Linked DNA regions of Drosophila melanogaster. The protein of the gene in region 1 interacts with the protein of each later gene in a pairwise test. Each region holds a gene or a part of one and is shown on either strand. Other genes may lie near its edges. The genes, in order: spag, Nop56 and Pih1D1.

Region 1 (4,639 bases):
GTAGTGTATCAACGTTCGATTCAGCGTAGTGTAAACAAACAGTACAAGTTACGTATTTATCTAATTTAATCTTCCCGTCGCGACGGTAAACTTAAGTGTTTTGTGTTTAGAACGAGCTCAAAATAAAACCTTGTCTTAATAACATAACCGACTGGACAACAACTTAGCCCCTGCTGGCACGGCGGGAGTTCGACTTCCTGTTCTTGCCGGAGCGCTTGGCCTGGCTCCGTTTGGCCTGGGTCTTCTTGGCGTTCAGTTTCCGGTTGCTCCTGGTCCTGGAACTACGGCTGGTGCTGCTGGCGGTGGTGGTGCCCACACGGATCTTCCTCACAATCGAGTACGTCAAGTTGGACAGGTACACTTTCTTGGGCGTGCTGGACGAGCTGTAGGTGGGACTGGTGGAAGTGGAGGAGGAGTTCTGTGAACTGGAGAAGTCCAGGCAGCAGATCACGAGCACCACGATGCACAGGGTGCCGATTTGAATAGTTGACTTCATGTTGGTAGTAGGATTGCTTTTAATATGCTTCGATGGATGCGGCCGGAGTGCTTAAGTAGTCGCCCTGGTTGTTTGCACAGTTTGCTCAATCGCCTACGAAGGCCGACGAAATTGTTTAATTTTGGCAAAACACACTGGCGCTTAAGCAATCGCTCTTGAGTTTGCTTTGCCTTGAACCAAAACAAAATATTCAAAAATAGCTATATGCTTTCACGTTTAATTTGACCAAAGGAAATGGGGAAATGGGATTACTTAGCCGAAGACTGGTTGAAAGGACTCCGCGACATACGGTCCACCATACGACGCACTTGCTCCTCGTTGCCGTACTTCTGGGCATCGGCCACAACGGCGGCATGATGGGAATTAGCCTCTGCTGAGATTTCGTCCTGGATCTGGCGACTCAGTTTAAAGGACGACCTGTTGGGGATGGTGAAAGTTCAGTGTGACTACTTAAATTCTCTGGTTCATAATCATTAACCTGACGGAGGTGAAGCCAAAGAGTGCCCCGACGAAGCCTAGGGCCATCAGAACCACGGCCACCTGCCAGTTGGAGACCCTCTTCAGACCACGGATGCCATAGTACGGTCCTGGATTGGGATCGTAGTTGGGCCTCACATCCCACGCCTGGCCGGGATTGACCGTCTCGCCAACGGGACTGCGGTCCGAGCGCGATGGCTGCCACAGCAGGCTGTCATCGTAGTCTCTCCTCCGCTCCGGCTTTATCAGGGTCTTGTACGCCTCGGAGATCTGAACAAATCGGGCTGTGCGCTCCGGACACGCAGCATTGCTCTTAACATCTGGGTGGTACTGTGGAAAGGGCAGGGTTTAGGAGGCTCCTTTGGAATCTTGGAGTTACTTACCAATTTGGAGAGCTGGACAAAGGCATTACGGACTTCACGGGTGCTGCAATCATTGCGAATATTCAAAACTTCATAGTGTGTTTCGGGTTTTCTTGGTTTGTCGTTCGAGAAACTGCGCAATAGGCAAACATTTACTTTACATAACAAGTTTTATAGACGTAAAGTCCTTACTTACGCACATATCCAGCTCGAGTTGGAAGGCACAACCTTAGCATTGTGAGCTTTATTAGTATTATTTGTGCTGATCTGTCGGAGAAAGCATAATTTTAAACTAGGACTTTCAAAATAAAATCAAAACACAAAACAGCTGATTTGAGGGCCTTACTCTGGCAATCCTGGCTGGCCAGCTACAAAAATAGAGTTGGCAGCTCTGTTCGATGAAACAGCAACTCAGTTGAACTATCGACAGCGAGCAGTGCTGCCAGACTGTCGGAGCGCTAGCAACAGAAATAACAAACATTTAATATTTCTTTAGCCACTTGACAAGGCAAATCAATATGAGTGCACAGGAAAAAGCCTTCGAACTGCAGCGCCAGGTGCGCCAGAACGCGCGGGAGTACGAGAACTCCGTGAAGGACTTGTACTCCTGGGAGCAAGACATTAAAAACAAGGAGAAAGAGCTCCAGAAGTCGCCGCTTTCTGCCGCCAATAAGGTTAGCTTTAAATTCTTTGGTATTAACAAGTAAAGCTCACACTTTCAATGCAGGATCTGCCAGTGCGCAGTCATGTCCAGACAGACAAGTCGCGGAAGGAGAGCCCATCCTCCTCGGCGGCCAGCTCACCCACGGAGAAACAGGACTTGCCAGTGGATCCTGTGGCCCAGCAGTACAAGAAGGCCAACGACATCAAGGACCGTGGAAACACCTATGTCAAGCAGGGGGAGTACGAGAAGGCCATCGTGGCCTACTCCACTGCCATTGCCGTCTATCCCCACGATCCCATTTACCACATTAACCGGGCACTGTGCTACCTAAAACAGGAGAGGTAGGACTGTTTAGAATGTTCTCGATACTTCTTCCTTACATGCATATTTATCCTTGCAGCTTTGATCAATGCGTGGAGGACTGCGAGGCCGCCATTGCGCTGGATAAGCTCTGCGTGAAAGCTTACTACCGGCGAATGCAGGCCAACGAGTCCCTGGGCAACAACATGGAAGCCCTGAAGGATTGCACCACTGTGCTGGCCATCGAGCCGAAGAACATCGAGGCCAAGAGGAGCCTGGCCAGAATCAACGACCGTCTGCGCAAGATTGGTAAATATAATTTTGATTACCTAGTAAGCATATTTTAAGGCTTTTCATTGGCATCCTTACAGCCACCAAAAGTGGGCCAAACTTTACACCCGATCGTCCTGGCATGATTGAGATCTTGCCAATCGAGAAGCCTGCTTATAAACGCTCCAAGAAGGCAATGCGCAGTGTTCCCGTTGTAGACGTGGTATCTCCTCGTGCTACCATCGATGATAGCAACCAACTACGCATTTCGGATGAGGACATAGATAAGATATTTAATAGTAACTGCGGCATAATCGAAGAGGTCAAAAAAACAAATCCAAAGCCGACGCCAATGCCAGACACATCAGGTCCACCCAAAGCTGAGACCATTGCTAAGACCTCCAAAGAAGTCAAGCCTACCAAACAGACTGCGGTTAAAGTAGCTCCAGCTGTGGAAACCCCCAAAGAAACAGAAACACGCAAGGATACCAAGATTGTGCCTGAATCCGATAATGAGGCCAAGCCAAGTGCACCCAAAAAAACGGCTGTCGAGGTCCCCAAGGTTCAGACTCAAGTTTCTCCACCAAAGACCACAATAGAACGCAGCCCAGAAGTCAATACCGTGCAAACTGAAAAAATTGAACAAGCTTCGAGCAACAACGCAATGTCACCCAGTCCAATAGAGGTAGGTTCGCTTAAGATCAAAGCTGAATTATTATTAAACCAATTCTCTATGATTTAGCGCTTCTTACCGCCCGCACCCACGAGCACAGCACAGTTCCATGTGACCTGGAAGGAGCTGAGTGGTCCGCAGAAGTACCAATACCTAAAGTCCATTGAAGTCCCGAATCTGTGTAAGATCCTGGGAGCAGGCTTCGATTCGGACACGTTTGCCGACCTGCTGCGCACCATCCACGACTTCTTTGTACCAAATAAGGAGCCAAACACAGCAGCTGTCTTGCTGGAGATCAGCAAAAATGACGAATTCACCATTTTGGCCATGCTCATGTCCGCAGAGGAGAAGAAAAGTAGGTGACAAAACTTTTCTTGCATAATTTCGTTTGCATTTCATGTACTTTCCCCTTTTCACAGTGGTTTCGTCTATCCTCAACGCCATCAAGAACTGGCCCAGCAAGAATCCGGCTGTGCTGGACAACCTTTTCAAGGAATACGGAGTAGCCTAAACACCCAATGTTTTATGTTAAAATGTACTTATGTTGCTTCAAATTGTTAGCTCCAAAATCAACTAAAACAACAAAAATGTTTAAAATATAAAGAGGATTTGTAGATAGGATCCCAAAACGTTACACAGAATGCGAATGATTGAATGTGTTTTGTTCAGCGTTTATTAGATACGCTAAGATGCTCACTAGTTACACATGCTGGGAATATCTCAAAGTGACTCATGTTTTTTAGCCTAGTATAAGCCGAAAATTCCATATGCAGAAGACCATTTGAGCAAACAAACCGTTCTTGCCCGACCAGACCATGAATATTGAATAACCAATTGAGTAATACGAATTAGTGTAATTTACATAAATCAGCGCATTAATTCAATCTGCGAAGCCACCTAAAATGGGCCTTCCAGCAAGAACAACAACTCCATTAAGCGACGTTAAGTTGGAAGCGCTGATGATCAGTCGGCTTATCCGATCCGTGCACATATCATTACAGCGAAACCACAGCCAGGAGCACCAGGAGGGGCCCCCAAAGCAGGAGGGGCATCTCGCCGAGAACCGCGCACCACCGAGGCACCCGGGCGGCCCACTAATTGCGTGAGAGCTGGTGCACTAAGCACAGGGGCCGGGTTTTACTTTAGCCCATTGTGCCGCCGCTAGTTATAATTTAATTTACATTTTTCTTAACCAACGCTGGCTGCGATTTATCAATTTCTCGCCGCGAGAGAATTCGCGAGAGCGGCTTCCTCCAGGGTTGCCGCTCCATTTGGCGCCCGGGGAGCTGCAAGTCGAGCTGGATCCGATCTGGATGTACTGCTTTAATGTCTTCACCAGCTAAAAATGTTTCTATAAAATGTTTATATGCTTGTATAGAAAATCAATCATATACGAT
Region 2 (4,720 bases), on another chromosome or scaffold:
TTGCTGGGGTTTGCATTACAAAATCGCTTGATCCGCTGAACCGCGAGCAATTAGCGATAGTTTAATAGTAATAAATACATAGAATACATACAGAAAGAAAAACGATAAACAAGGAAACACGCATAGTTTGTGAACGTAATATTTGTTGTTTCTCGAAAGCGGGAGGTGTTAGTTATAAAAGGCGTGCTGTTGCTTTTGCTGCTTTTGTTTTCTCCTTTACATATACATATAAATATGATTTATACGTTTTTACGTTTCACATATAAAAATATAGTAGTTGCTCTGGATCAGCAATTAGCCCGCTATAGTTCGGTTCACATTGCCAATTGGCGGTTTTTTGTTTTCTTTTGTTTAGTGGGAGGCACCCCATGAAGCAATGAACGAAACATAAAAGTATTGGCGGTAACTAACTAAAGCGTAATACACGAGTCTGCCAGAGCGCTTTCATCACAAGTCCAACTGCAAGCGCAGACCACCACCACCGCCGCCGGAATCGCGAAAATTCGCGGCTCCATGCAGTGATTCCTATATCTGCCGCTCATCCTTAGCCGTCAGCTTGTCGATGAGCTCCTGCAGCGGGGCCAGTTCGCGCCGCTCAATCAGATTGAACTCCTGCACGAAGAAGATGAAGTGCTTGAAGGACGTGTTGAGATGGGCCTCCTCGCCAAGCGTCACCACCTCTGTGAAGTGCTGGTGGTAGATGTGCGCATACACGCGGAACAGACGCTTCAGTATGGTCTTGGCGGAGGAGTGAAAGTTCTTTGGAAACGGCACGCCGATCTTGGAGGGAAACAGGGTCTCGTCGTCCAGCTGATCCTGCACCCAAGTCATCAGATAGTCAATATACTTGGGCGCGCTGCACTTGATGGGCTTCTTTACGGTCAAACCGTCGGCCCAGTGGTACTCGTATTTCGGACCAGCCGACATGATGCCACAGGTCTCCTCGGTGCAGAACTCGGTGATGGTGCCGTACAGCATGTTGATCTGGTTGAAAAAGTCCACGGCTGCGAAGGAGTGGCAATAAGAATTGGTTATCTTTCGCTAGTTACACTATACTAGACTCACTGTTAACGGCCACCCACTCGTTGAGATCCTCGCCATCTGGAAGGGCCACTGCATTGCGCAGGTTTCCCGATCCCAGCGTGGCTGCCGCATGCTTCATGAGATCATATTGGTGTGTGCCTTCCGGGATGTTCTTCTTGGGCTTGAAGGTCTTGCTGGAACGGGAACCGCTGTGGAAAGAGAAAGGCAATAAGTCGCGGCCCCAAACAGCCCCACTCAGTAAAACATAATACAGTAAAGATTCTATAGATTGAAACGTAAGCGACTTCGTTCAATTTACACTCCCTAAAAGAAATATTTCCTTTTTTTTTCTTTTTTTAAATTCACTGAGGAAGAATGCAAGATATCTTTGAAAAGCTATTTTTTAAACACCGCAGACAAAATTAGGGAAGTTCCACTGTACAAGAGGTTGGGGATATCACCCCAAAAAGGGCAAACAAAGCCGGAAAGTCAGATGTGGGGCGGGGTGATCCAAGCTTTCTTTGTGCTCGAAAGGATTGCAGTTGCACTACGTTTTGCCCCCCTGAGAACTTACAACAAGAAGTCCATGGCATGCAATTGCTGTGCTTCGCCTTTCACTGAGCCTCCAATGGAATTTTCCTATGCGTAGACTTTTCCGGCGAGTGCCACACCGCTTTTTCGGCTCTTCTGTGTCGTGTCAGCAGCTTTATTCCGCCGATTTTTACACAATTAGCGCCGAATAATAATTAAAGAAAAGTGACTGGAATTCGCAGCAGGTTTCTTTCTCTGGTCAATTGGGAAATGACAATGATGGTATCTGTATCTGGCCTCCAGTTGGTCGGTCTGTTAACTAGTGCCGTAGCCCAACAGCTGATGCGAGCGGTTCCAGGAAGTGTGCCGAGCCAACTAGTTAATTCTGTTGTGTTTATAAACGCAAAAAATTTGTTATAAATAAAAATAAAATTGCTTTCACACACAGAGACAGTTGATGAAAGTGCGAGAGGGACAACGCGACAGGTTATCAGGCTATCAACGTGGCCAGCCTGTTAAAATAATTCAGTACGGTACTGCGGTATTTTATCTGGTATGTCCCTAACATTTCGCAATCGGCTTGCTATGGTCACACTTGAAGTAAGCACGTGGGAAAACAACTGTAGCAGCATCGTGGGTGTATAAAAATATATATTTCTTAATTAAATCGGCATATATTCGGCATAGACATGGTAAATATTTCAGTGCAATAATCATATATTTGAATTTTCTGCGGGTTGCCCGTGAAATGAAAATGTTTTCCCTGCGAAAACTAACCTACACACGCGGAGCACCCAAAACCACATGTGTCTGCCACCGCATCAGACTGATAATTTTTCATTTCCCCGCCTCCAGTCGAACCTGTATGTGCTGTACGAGCATGCGGCGGGCTTCTCGCTCTTCTCCGTCAAGGAGTTCGAAGAGGTGTCCATGTTCCTGCCCCAGGTGGAGTCCTCGGTGACGGACCTCGCCAAGTTCAACTCAATTGTTAAGCTGGCTGGATTTGCACCTTTCAAGACGGCCATTGCCGCACTGGAAAACATCAATGCCATATCCGAGGGCATAGTGCCGCAGGATCTGCTCTCCTTCTTGGATGACTTCTTTGCCAAGCTGAAGAAGAAGAAGTGCACCCTGGGTATTGCGGATGCCAAGCTGGGAGCTGCAATCACCGAGGCCATTGGCGTCCAGTGCAGTCACTTTGGAGTGGTTCCTGAGATTCTGCGCGGCGTGCGATTCCACTTCGCTAAGCTGGTCAAGGGTAAGCTACCTGCTTTGCAAGGAAAATCCTCTTTGTCTAACTAAAGCCTCCTCCATCCGATGCAGGATTCACCGACAAGTCCGCTGGCGTTGCTCAGCTGGGTCTGGGCCACAGCTACTCGCGTGCCAAGGTCAAGTTCAATGTTCATCGTTCCGACAACATGATCATCCAGTCGATTGCTTTGCTGGATCAGTTGGATAAGGACGTAAATACCTTCTCTATGCGGATACGCGAGTGGTACTCGTATCACTTCCCAGAACTGGTCAAAATCGTTCCCGACAATTACATGTTCGCCAAGGCGGCCAAGTTCATCAAGGATCGCAAGAACCTCACGCAAGACCAGCTGGAGGATCTTGAGAAGATCGTCATGGACTCCGCCAAGGCTCAGGCTATCATTGATGCCGCCAAGATGTCCATGGGCATGGACATCTCCATTGTTGATCTGATGAACATTGAGCTGTTCGCAGAGCGCGTTGTCAAGCTTTCCGAGTACCGAAAGAAACTGTCTACCTACTTGCACAACAAGATGAACTTGGTGGCACCCAATCTGCAGTCTTTGATTGGCGACCAGGTCGGTGCCCGCCTGATATCGCATGCCGGCAGCTTGACTAATCTGGCCAAGTACCCAGCATCTACAGTACAAATCCTGGGTGCCGAGAAGGCGCTCTTCCGTGCTCTAAAGACCCGCTCCAATACGCCCAAGTATGGTCTTATCTATCACTCCTCGTTCATTGGTCGAGCTGGCCTGAAGAACAAGGGTCGCATCTCTCGATTCCTGGCCAACAAGTGCTCCATCGCGTCGCGTATCGATTGCTTCCTGGAACAGCCGACTAGCGTGTTTGGCGAAACTCTTAAGCAACAGGTCGAAGATCGCCTCAAGTTCTACGAGTCCGGCGATGTGCCGCGCAAGAACATTGAGGTAATGAAGGAGGCCATCGAGGCAGCTGGTCAAGAGGCGGCAATCACTGTACAGTCCGAGAAAAAGAAGAAAAAGAAGAAGCGAGCGGCTGAAGACGAGGGCGAGACGAATGGCGCCAGTAATGGAAACGGAGCAGCCGCCGAGGCGGAAAATGGCAATGGCAACGATGATGGAGAGCCAAAGAAGAAGAAGAAAAAGAAGAACAAAAACAAGGAAGCGGTGGAGGCGTAAATGTCTCTGTTACATTCAACTTAGTTTAAGTCCACACTATTATCTTTTACTTACATGCTTCTTTTGTATTTCCTTTGACCCCCTGATGGATCGCATTTCAAATAATAATAAACATATACTTTGGAGGGTATTCCCACCGGAATTTTATGAGTTTGCGTTTTAAATCAAGAGACTATCATAATTATTGGTTTCAATTGTTTTATATTTCATATTTGCTTTACATTCAATTTATATACAGACACATCGTAACGTTAACTATTGCTAAAATTGTTTGATTTTATTACGTGTAGTATTTTGTTTAACAATTTCAATGTTGGATCGCTCAGCCGTCCGTCCGCGCGTTGTGCTAACGAATCCGTTTAGTACAACCATTATTCAACTACTCTGTGTATTGCATTTGATGACGACTTTCAAATTCCGAGTGGACGATCAGGACGGATGTGGAATTAATGGGTTTGATCCGGAAAATTGCATCGGGGGTAAATTGTTTAACAACGAATTTAGAAACAAATTGCACGTGTCGCAAACTTTGTACAGCAAGGGGAAAGGAAAACGTAAATAATATATAGAACTGACAAGTTTAGCGATCGTGGAAATGTGAATGTGAGAGTGGACATTTTGGGTAGTAGGTTGGTTGGGTTAAATTAGGCTAAAAAATATCATTGAAACAAGTCGAATGCCGACGAGCTATTATTGTTATTATTGCTGTGATTCTGCTGCTGCTGCTGGAAAGCTCCAAAGTTGGCAAATGCTGATTG
Region 3 (7,940 bases), on another chromosome or scaffold:
TCCTGATTCGCAGGCCCACAATGAACATTCGGTGGAAATATTGCCCCAGAATAAAGGTCTGTGCAGCGGCCAAAACGAAAAGCAGGACAGCGTATAAGATACCCTTCCATTCGGGCTCGGCATCTTGGGCCTCGACGAAGCTGATGATCAAACTCAGGACTTGGGGCTGGGCAAATGTCAGGGTGTCGGTGAACAGCTTCATTAGGGCGCCGAACAGAAAGACGCCTCCGAAGGACTTGTAAATTGGCGGCATAATACTGGCCATGCCCTTCTTGCGGCCATTCTTCTCACCGTGGGGATTCTCAAAGGTCACGTTGCCATTGCTAAACTGCGCCTTGGGTTCTACGCGCGCCTTGTTCTTGTAGTTCTTGCGCACGTTCTGGTTCCAGTGGTGGGCGAAGATGGGCATGACCTCGGAGCAGCTGTCCTGCGGCCTCAGGTCCCACAGATCCTTCTCCTCCAGCGGGTTGCGATAGCCCTTGAGGGCCATTTTGTCGAACCACTGATAGGTGATGCGGGAAAGGAAACTGGCTGACAGTTCGGGAATCTCGTTCTCACCCCTCTGGTACTTGGTTTGTCTGGGCATTCCGTCCGCGAAGCAGTTCAGGATCAGCATAATGCTGGTGAAGGTGAAGAAGATAAAGAAGCTAACGAACTGATACTCCTCCCAGGAAAAGTCCTGCTCGGATGGCTGTTGCGAATTCAGAATCTTCTGGCGCTCCGCGTCCAGTCGAACTTCAGTGCGGCAGCGGGGAATCGACAGCACAGTGAGCAGGAACCAGAAGATGAACTGACATCCCGTGGTCTGCACGCCATACTTTCGATTCAGCGGGATGAATATGAAGAGCAACAGGAAGGTGGCGAACTTGATGATGGGACCCCAAACATCCAGGTCGTAGAGCGGCAGCTCAGAGTCGCCGCCCTTCTTGACCAGCGCCATAATTAGGTCCAGGGCAGTGATTACCAGCAGACCCAGATTCACCAGAGCTTTGCTCACGTTCAGCTTGTTCCACGGTATATTCCTGTCCAAACTCGCCTTCAGGTAGTAAAAGTCAAAGATCACGAACGCCCAGTAGAAGGCGCAGGGTGTCCAGACCAGCGCCGTTTGCTCAAAGCAGGGCGTAAAGTCCGGATCGTTGGTATACCATGTCTCTGTTGCGTTCTGTTCGTTGGACACACGGAAACCATACATTTACACTATGCATTCGGATTGAACACCACTGCTGATGCACTCACCCAGAACGTGGATCCGCAGAATCTGTCCATCGGCGAACTAGTGTCATCCGCCATGGTTACTCGACTGCTCGGCAACCTCCTCCACGTGCAATTGGGCTATATGCGTATGCTATATCGGGCGATGTGGTAACTGTAAAGCGGCAAGGAAATAAACGGATCTATATTTTCGGGCCAACAGCTGTTCCTTCCCAAGCCGCACAACTACAACAACCGCTAATCGTGACAGTGGGAAGTTGATTGCTAGTATTTTTCTGGTATTTCGCGGGCACAGTGGGTGTCGGATGGAAAATGAGTGTATAATTCTGCACTGCGTGTTATTTTAATTGTTTATATTGATTTAAGTGAAACTTGTAATTTTTGTACATAAATTATTAAAATACATTTGCTTGGAAAACTTAGTAGAAGCAAGTAGAAATCAATTGCATTTGCAACAGCAAAAATACAAATGAATTTCTTAAATTTGGATTAAGCTTTTAAAGTTTCATATAGAAATTCATAGCAATTATTCTCGAAAATTCTTGTCATTTACTTTTTATTAATGAGCACCCTGTACAGGGAAAACGCCTATCTAGTATTTTTAGCCTATCGCATGGCATTAAATGTTTTTCCACCGGCGTTCACACTGTCACATTAGTTTTCATTTCAATCGAGTTGACAGCTCCATTCTGGCAAATAAAATTTGCGTTTTTCGCTCGTCGCTCAGCGCAAAAATAGCATTTGCATTGGATTAACTCGTAACTGGCAATTGAAATCGTGCAGCAAAATGTCGCGTCGTTCCAATTTCATTGAGGGCAACGACAATTTTCGCGACCAGAACCTGCGCTTTGTGCGGGTAAGCAAAACTTGAGAAATTCGATGTGAGGAACTATCTGCGCCACTAAAGATGAACTTGTTTTTTTTTTTTTTCATTTTCTAAATGCAGAACGAGTTTGAGGACAATATTAACCAGTACTTTGGAGGCGCCGATCCGGAGGGCAGCGGCCCGCAGCAGAAACCGCCGCCGCGAGACTCGCTGATTGTCCAGCCGACCGCAGGTAAGTGGCGTCCATTGCAACAGCCGGAGCTTCACATGGCACAGCAATCGCTGCCGGTGGCGCGGAGAATCTAACCGGAGATTACAGCCAGCTAGTAGTAGGCATGACTCTGGGTTTATGGTCTACTTAGCACTTGTGTGTGCACAGTAATCTCTGCGAGCGCGGAACCATGTCAACCTGATAAACATCTCACGTCGACGTCGATTGCGCGTAATCGCTCGGGGTGGTACAGTGAACCCGCGATAAGGCGAACAAACGCACGCGAATGGAACACGTCATAGGACAGAAAAACCCATCCTAACGAATCTTCGACAAGACTTTAAAAACCAATTACGAATATTGAAAACATATCCGAATTACTTGTATTTAAAATTGAATCAATTGCTCTAAATTTTTTAATTAATTCCGTAAGTTAACTATAGTTTGTGCACACTTTTTGTATATTCAAATTTCCAATCTTTTAATGGTTATTAATTAGTATTTTGCACTTAACTATTGGATAATTCGTCAAAACAAAGGCAAAAAATCAATTATCCAAACAAATCAGTTTAATTCCTATGCACACTATTATTTGACAAACTATCTATCGTATTGAAACAAAAAGAGGGTTGAGCGGGTAGTTAGTACGAAGTTTTGTAATCTAGCCGTCGTTATTGTGCGCTACGGCAGTTAAGTGTTTACATGTCCAGGGCCACTTGGAGGAAGGTCTAATCGCGCCCACTTGAAACGATAGTTTATAGTCCAGCGAGATTGTACAATGCCAATGACAAATGAGCGACTAAAACGTGTTTCCCCGCCTCGAAGAAGAACTAATTTACACAGAGATACACACAACTAAAAAGAAGGAATGAGAAACTTTAAGCGAATCTTGAACGGAGCTCATAAAAGGTATTGGGCTAGTCACATTTTATGGGCGCCAAAAACTTGTTTGCCCCGTACACGCATGTGTTTTAAGCCATTTGACTTTAGATAAAATTCTAACACATCTGAAACGAGTATTTTCAGTTCGATATAATTAACGGCGAAACCTGTTCCCGCAGCGATTATATAAGCACAAAACAATCGGCAGAAAAAACCCCCTTACAAAACCTAATATTTCAATTGTACGAAATGTGTGTGTTTTGCCTTTACACCCAAGTGAAATTTCTCTTTAAAAACAAAAACGTCGACTCACGATGAGATGCTAAGCAAAATGGCATGGAGATCTCTTGGCTGCACCATAAAATCAAGGAGAAAACCTGACAATTTTCTCAGCAAAAAACGCCACTCTCTTCACAACCTGACTGACACACACGGTTTGTTTGTTCTGGATCAGATCATGCCAGCCGGCACAAATTGTTTACACCGCCAAAGAAGAGTGATTTATTTACAGAATATCAACGACACTCGACACTTGATGACTTTTATTAATAGGGAAAAAGCTGAGATAAGGCTGACTGGCTGCATTTAGCCAAGTGTGCAAACTCTGGAGAAAACAACTTCCACATAGCGAGAATGATTATACGAGCAGCTCCTTATCGGGGACCCCACAGCTGAACCTTATCGTGTGTGCTGCCTGTTGCTGTCCCCCTACTAGACTCTTCCATTGTGTTTGTCGTTGCTCCAGTTATGAATTGCACATCGTAAACCCTATATTGCTCCTAATCGCACACTTGTTTGCTCCACTTGCTGCTGATTCTGAGTCCTTGGAGCTTGATTACCATCGGACTGGGCGAGAAGCTGTCGAACCCACAGATCGTAGGCCATCTTTCAAGGCCTGTGACGTCAGTGGAACCCACGAGGCAATTAACTTCAAATTTGTTCGTACGAACAGCAGTACGACAACCTTGCGCACCACAATTTTTACACTTTTTCTGTTATCAATTAAATAATCGAGCTGCGAGCATGACAAAACACTTAACCATATCAAACTACTTTGAATGTGAATCATCGATTTCTCGTCAGTTCTTTTTTTTTTTTTTCGTATTTCTTTCGTTTGCTGAGAAATGTTTGCGCGGGATATTCTGGAGCCTTTCGGAAATTTCACAATTTCAGGCAAAGAATGTGGACACACAGAGATAGATACACAACACATAGATACGAACGCACACTGGCACACTTGTTCCGCTTTGGCGGAATCCAACAACCACATATCAACAAGGGTATCAAAAATGGACGGCGGTGGTTGTTGTTGGCGGTATCGATGCGACTGAAATGTCACTTATAATTACCTCTACGTAGAAAAAAACTCGCTGCGATTCAAACGAATCGGTTGTGGGGGATCGGAGTGAATAGAATCGAATCGAAACAAAACGAGCCGTAGCGGTTGAGGTCGGATCGCTATTTGGATTTGGATGGAGGGCAGCGTCGGCGGAGCACTTCAAAATCGACGGACAACCGGCTCGTTACGAGCAAAAAGGCAAACTGAATTCGAAGCGAGCGCTGCGAACAAACTTATTTGTTTTCCGCGCTTTCCGTGCTCAAAAAAAAAACAACAAAAATGAGATAATAGCGCCACCTCGGAGAGCGTTTAACTTGGCTCTTTTTGTGGCGCTGACTGCCTGGTGGCCGCCCGATCAATTAAAACCCCCTGCCATCAAAGCACCCGACTCTCCAATAATGCCAAGTTTGTCCAGAATAAAACCCAGCTGAAAGATACCGACTCTCTTTCCTGATTTTAAGTGCCGATTTAAACATATTTTCCTGCTCTGGTGAAATTATTCTGAACCGAAATGGACACACGACGCGACTCTTAAACGTTTTGTTGTCGCAAGAGCAACAAAAGTGGGCCGAAATGATAACGATATCAACAGTAGTCATACAATTAAGAGCATTTAATGGGTGTTTGGTTGCGAATTCTTCACGATTTTGGTATAAGCATGACCATACCTATTGATTATCAGTTTATTGTGTGTTTGATGCCATAAATGTATAATTACTGAGTAGTTTCTTAACAACTACAACTACAGGATTTGCTGCTATGCATTTCGAAAGTACACACCAATAGAATAGAATTCTGTGATAGAATTTCTAATCTAATCAATTTAGATGTTTAATTTAAAATATGAGATAGTGGCAGTGCTTAGTGTTTATAGATTGACAAAAAATCAAACATCAAACTTAGTCAGCATTTTGATAACGACTGAAAAGGCAATCAAGTAGTAATGCAATTGAAATTATCATTTTTTTTTGTGTTGTACAATTTGTTAAAGCAATTAAAGGGTGGGAAGAAATGCAAAACAAAGCAAATCTATTATAGATTTAAACTAAAATTTGTATGCATATTTTCAGTGAGCATTGTCGTCATGAGTAGATTAGATTGGAATTGGTTTGCTAAACGTGACCACATAGCTCTAACCTAAAACGTGTCTGCTTTTTTAAATTTTAAATTTCATATGTGGTACCATGAAAATAGCCAACAGCGAGCTGGACAATCGGCGCCAATTTCTCCGTGACCTGGGCGCCAGTCGGGTGTTGGCCAACGCCTTGGCGCAGCGCACCTTCAATGTGCCCAAGTTCAACCTGCGCCATTTCCAGCGCCAGAGGTTCCGCCTCAGCGTCGAGCTGGGCGACAGTCACCAGGATGTGGTGGACAAGGAGGTGCTCCAAGCCATCGAGGAAGCGGTGGCTAGCCACGACGACGTCGAGTCGCGGCCACGCACTCCGTCGCCGCCGCGGAACATTGATTGGCACAGCGCCAGGATGAATAACTCACCGGCTAATAAGGATCGATCGCGTTCTAGGAATCGTCAGAGAGAGGAAAATTTCCCAAACAACAATCGCGGAGTTGTGGAACAACGGGAGCCAATCAATAGGAATTGTGGACCCGTAAATCGCAATAATCCTGGCATGAATCCTGCTGAGTTCAATCGCAATCGTTATGCAAATGCGCAGGACTTTAATCGAAATAATCGAAATATGGACAGAAGTGAATTCAATCAAAATAATCGCAATTTCAACCGAAATGAGGGTTCACGTCCCAATCCACAGGATTTCAATCGTCCCAATAGAAATCAAAATCCACAGGATTTCAATCGTCCCAATAGAAACCAAAATCCACAGGATTTCAATCGTTCCAATAGAAATCAAAATCCACAGGATTTCAATCGATCTAATAGAAATCAAAACCCCCAGGATTTCAATCGTCCCAATAGAAATCAAAATCCACAGGATTTCAATCGCAATAATCGTAATGCCTATCCGCATGAATTCAATCGTAATATCCGAAATGATAACGAGCAGGAATTTAATCACAATCGTAATGCAGTCAATGATGAATTCAATCGCAATACTCGTAATGTTAACAACCAAGCATTCCCTCAAGGACATAACCATAACAATCGTAATGCGAATGCACAATTCAATCGCAAAACTTTTGACGAGAACCCAAACTTTAATAACCAACGTTTTCAAGGACCAAATCACCAGATCAACTATCGTGTTCAGATGCCAAACAATGATCATTCCCAAGTAAACAACAATCGCAGGCCTGGTAATCAGAACTTCGTTTCGAATCAGCAACCCAACTTGGATCGTAATGCTATAAGCGATGACGGCATTCAGCTGCCAAGAGATCGATTCCGTTCGCCTGAAGCGCATCCAAAACAACCACCATATCCACGTAATGTGAACGCTGACCAGGTTGGAAACCGTGGACCCCAAAAGAGGCACAATTATCAGCGTATTGTGAATGACAATCAAATAATACTACGTCGCACCGACTGGACTGACGAAGAAGAGGATCTAGATCTAGAACACCATGATATAGACGACTATATACCCGATGAACGCGAATTTCTTGAAGATGATGCCGATTTCATCGATGACACAAATGATACACTTATGAATGATGATCAGTATGAGGGTTACCACTCAAGGGGTAATCAACACTACATCCAAGATCATAACATCGATGATCGTAATTCATATGGACGCAATCGCAACGATCGTAACTTTGAGGGCATTAGGCGCCAGTTTGATCCAGAACTCGATCGACGCAACTTAAACGACAACTTCAATCAGCGAAACAACTATTCGCGTGGCGGTGACACCGTACGCTTTCCCCGAAGGGAGGATGACACATTCCAAGGCTCAAATAACCCTAATTTTCCACCGAACTATCCAAACACTATTCTCCGTGGATCGGGTTCTGGAAATCGTTGCCGCGATACGAGCTCTAACAGACCCATGGGTCCCAATCAAAACAGACGAAGCCGCCTACCAAATGCTGATGAAGCTGCTCCAAGTGTGGCCCATTCTGGGGGTCCCATACAAGATGGAACTAATTTAAATCGTAGAATCAATAAAAATTTAAATCCTGGCAAGGGGCCAGATCGCATCAATGCTGGGACTCCTAATCAACCCAGATCCAAGTCAACCACATCTCAAACTCGAAATCTAAATCCTGATATTCCAAACAAAATGGTCAAGAAGTCGGCGGTTCCACAAGACAATCGTGCACCGCAACCAAACAAACCTATGAACACCAATCCTGGTGCATCCAAACCTGGTCAGTCGGTAATCAAACCGAAACTACAGGCAACCAAGATCAACGCGGCCATGGCGAAACCGCTCGCTGGTAAGGGATAAACTTTTGAATTCTTAATAAATTAAAAATTTGATACAAACCAATTACAAGCTAGCTTATAGAGCTTTTGTATTGGTTTTAAAGTGTATAAATGATTTTAAAGC

What was found.
Region 2: the proteins of spag (region 1) and Nop56 interact in a two-hybrid assay, tested with the Drosophila melanogaster proteins (one study listed by BioGRID).
Region 3: the proteins of spag (region 1) and Pih1D1 interact in a two-hybrid assay, tested with the Drosophila melanogaster proteins (2 studies listed by BioGRID).

Annotation. Positions count from the first base shown.
Region 1 is NT_033778.4:24,157,618-24,162,256, forward strand, and holds spag (spaghetti), read left to right. Parts: upstream 1-1,766; 5' UTR 1,767-1,853; coding exon 1,854-2,009; intron 2,010-2,062; coding exon 2,063-2,340; intron 2,341-2,399; coding exon 2,400-2,608; intron 2,609-2,670; coding exon 2,671-3,254; intron 3,255-3,311; coding exon 3,312-3,597; intron 3,598-3,661; coding exon 3,662-3,753; 3' UTR 3,754-3,886; downstream 3,887-4,639. Other genes in the region: CG42568 (uncharacterized protein), read right to left, coding at 164-496; DnaJ-60 (DnaJ-like-60), read right to left, coding at 745-913, 975-1,303, 1,357-1,468, 1,528-1,571.
Region 2 is NT_033777.3:22,418,480-22,423,199, reverse strand, and holds Nop56 (Nop56), read left to right. Parts: upstream 1-2,131; 5' UTR 2,132-2,243; coding exon 2,244-2,246; intron 2,247-2,409; coding exon 2,410-2,812; intron 2,813-2,877; coding exon 2,878-3,962; 3' UTR 3,963-4,105; downstream 4,106-4,720. Other genes in the region: mats (mob as tumor suppressor), read right to left, coding at 526-1,004, 1,066-1,232, 1,598-1,611.
Region 3 is NT_033779.5:12,715,781-12,723,720, reverse strand, and holds the start of Pih1D1 (PIH1 domain containing 1), read left to right. Parts: upstream 1-1,877; 5' UTR 1,878-1,999; coding exon 2,000-2,068; intron 2,069-2,158; coding exon 2,159-2,270; intron 2,271-4,480; exon of another isoform or gene 4,481-4,676; intron 4,677-5,664; coding exon 5,665-7,827; intron 7,828-7,940. Other genes in the region: MRP (Multidrug-Resistance like protein 1), read right to left, coding at 1-1,162, 1,237-1,290.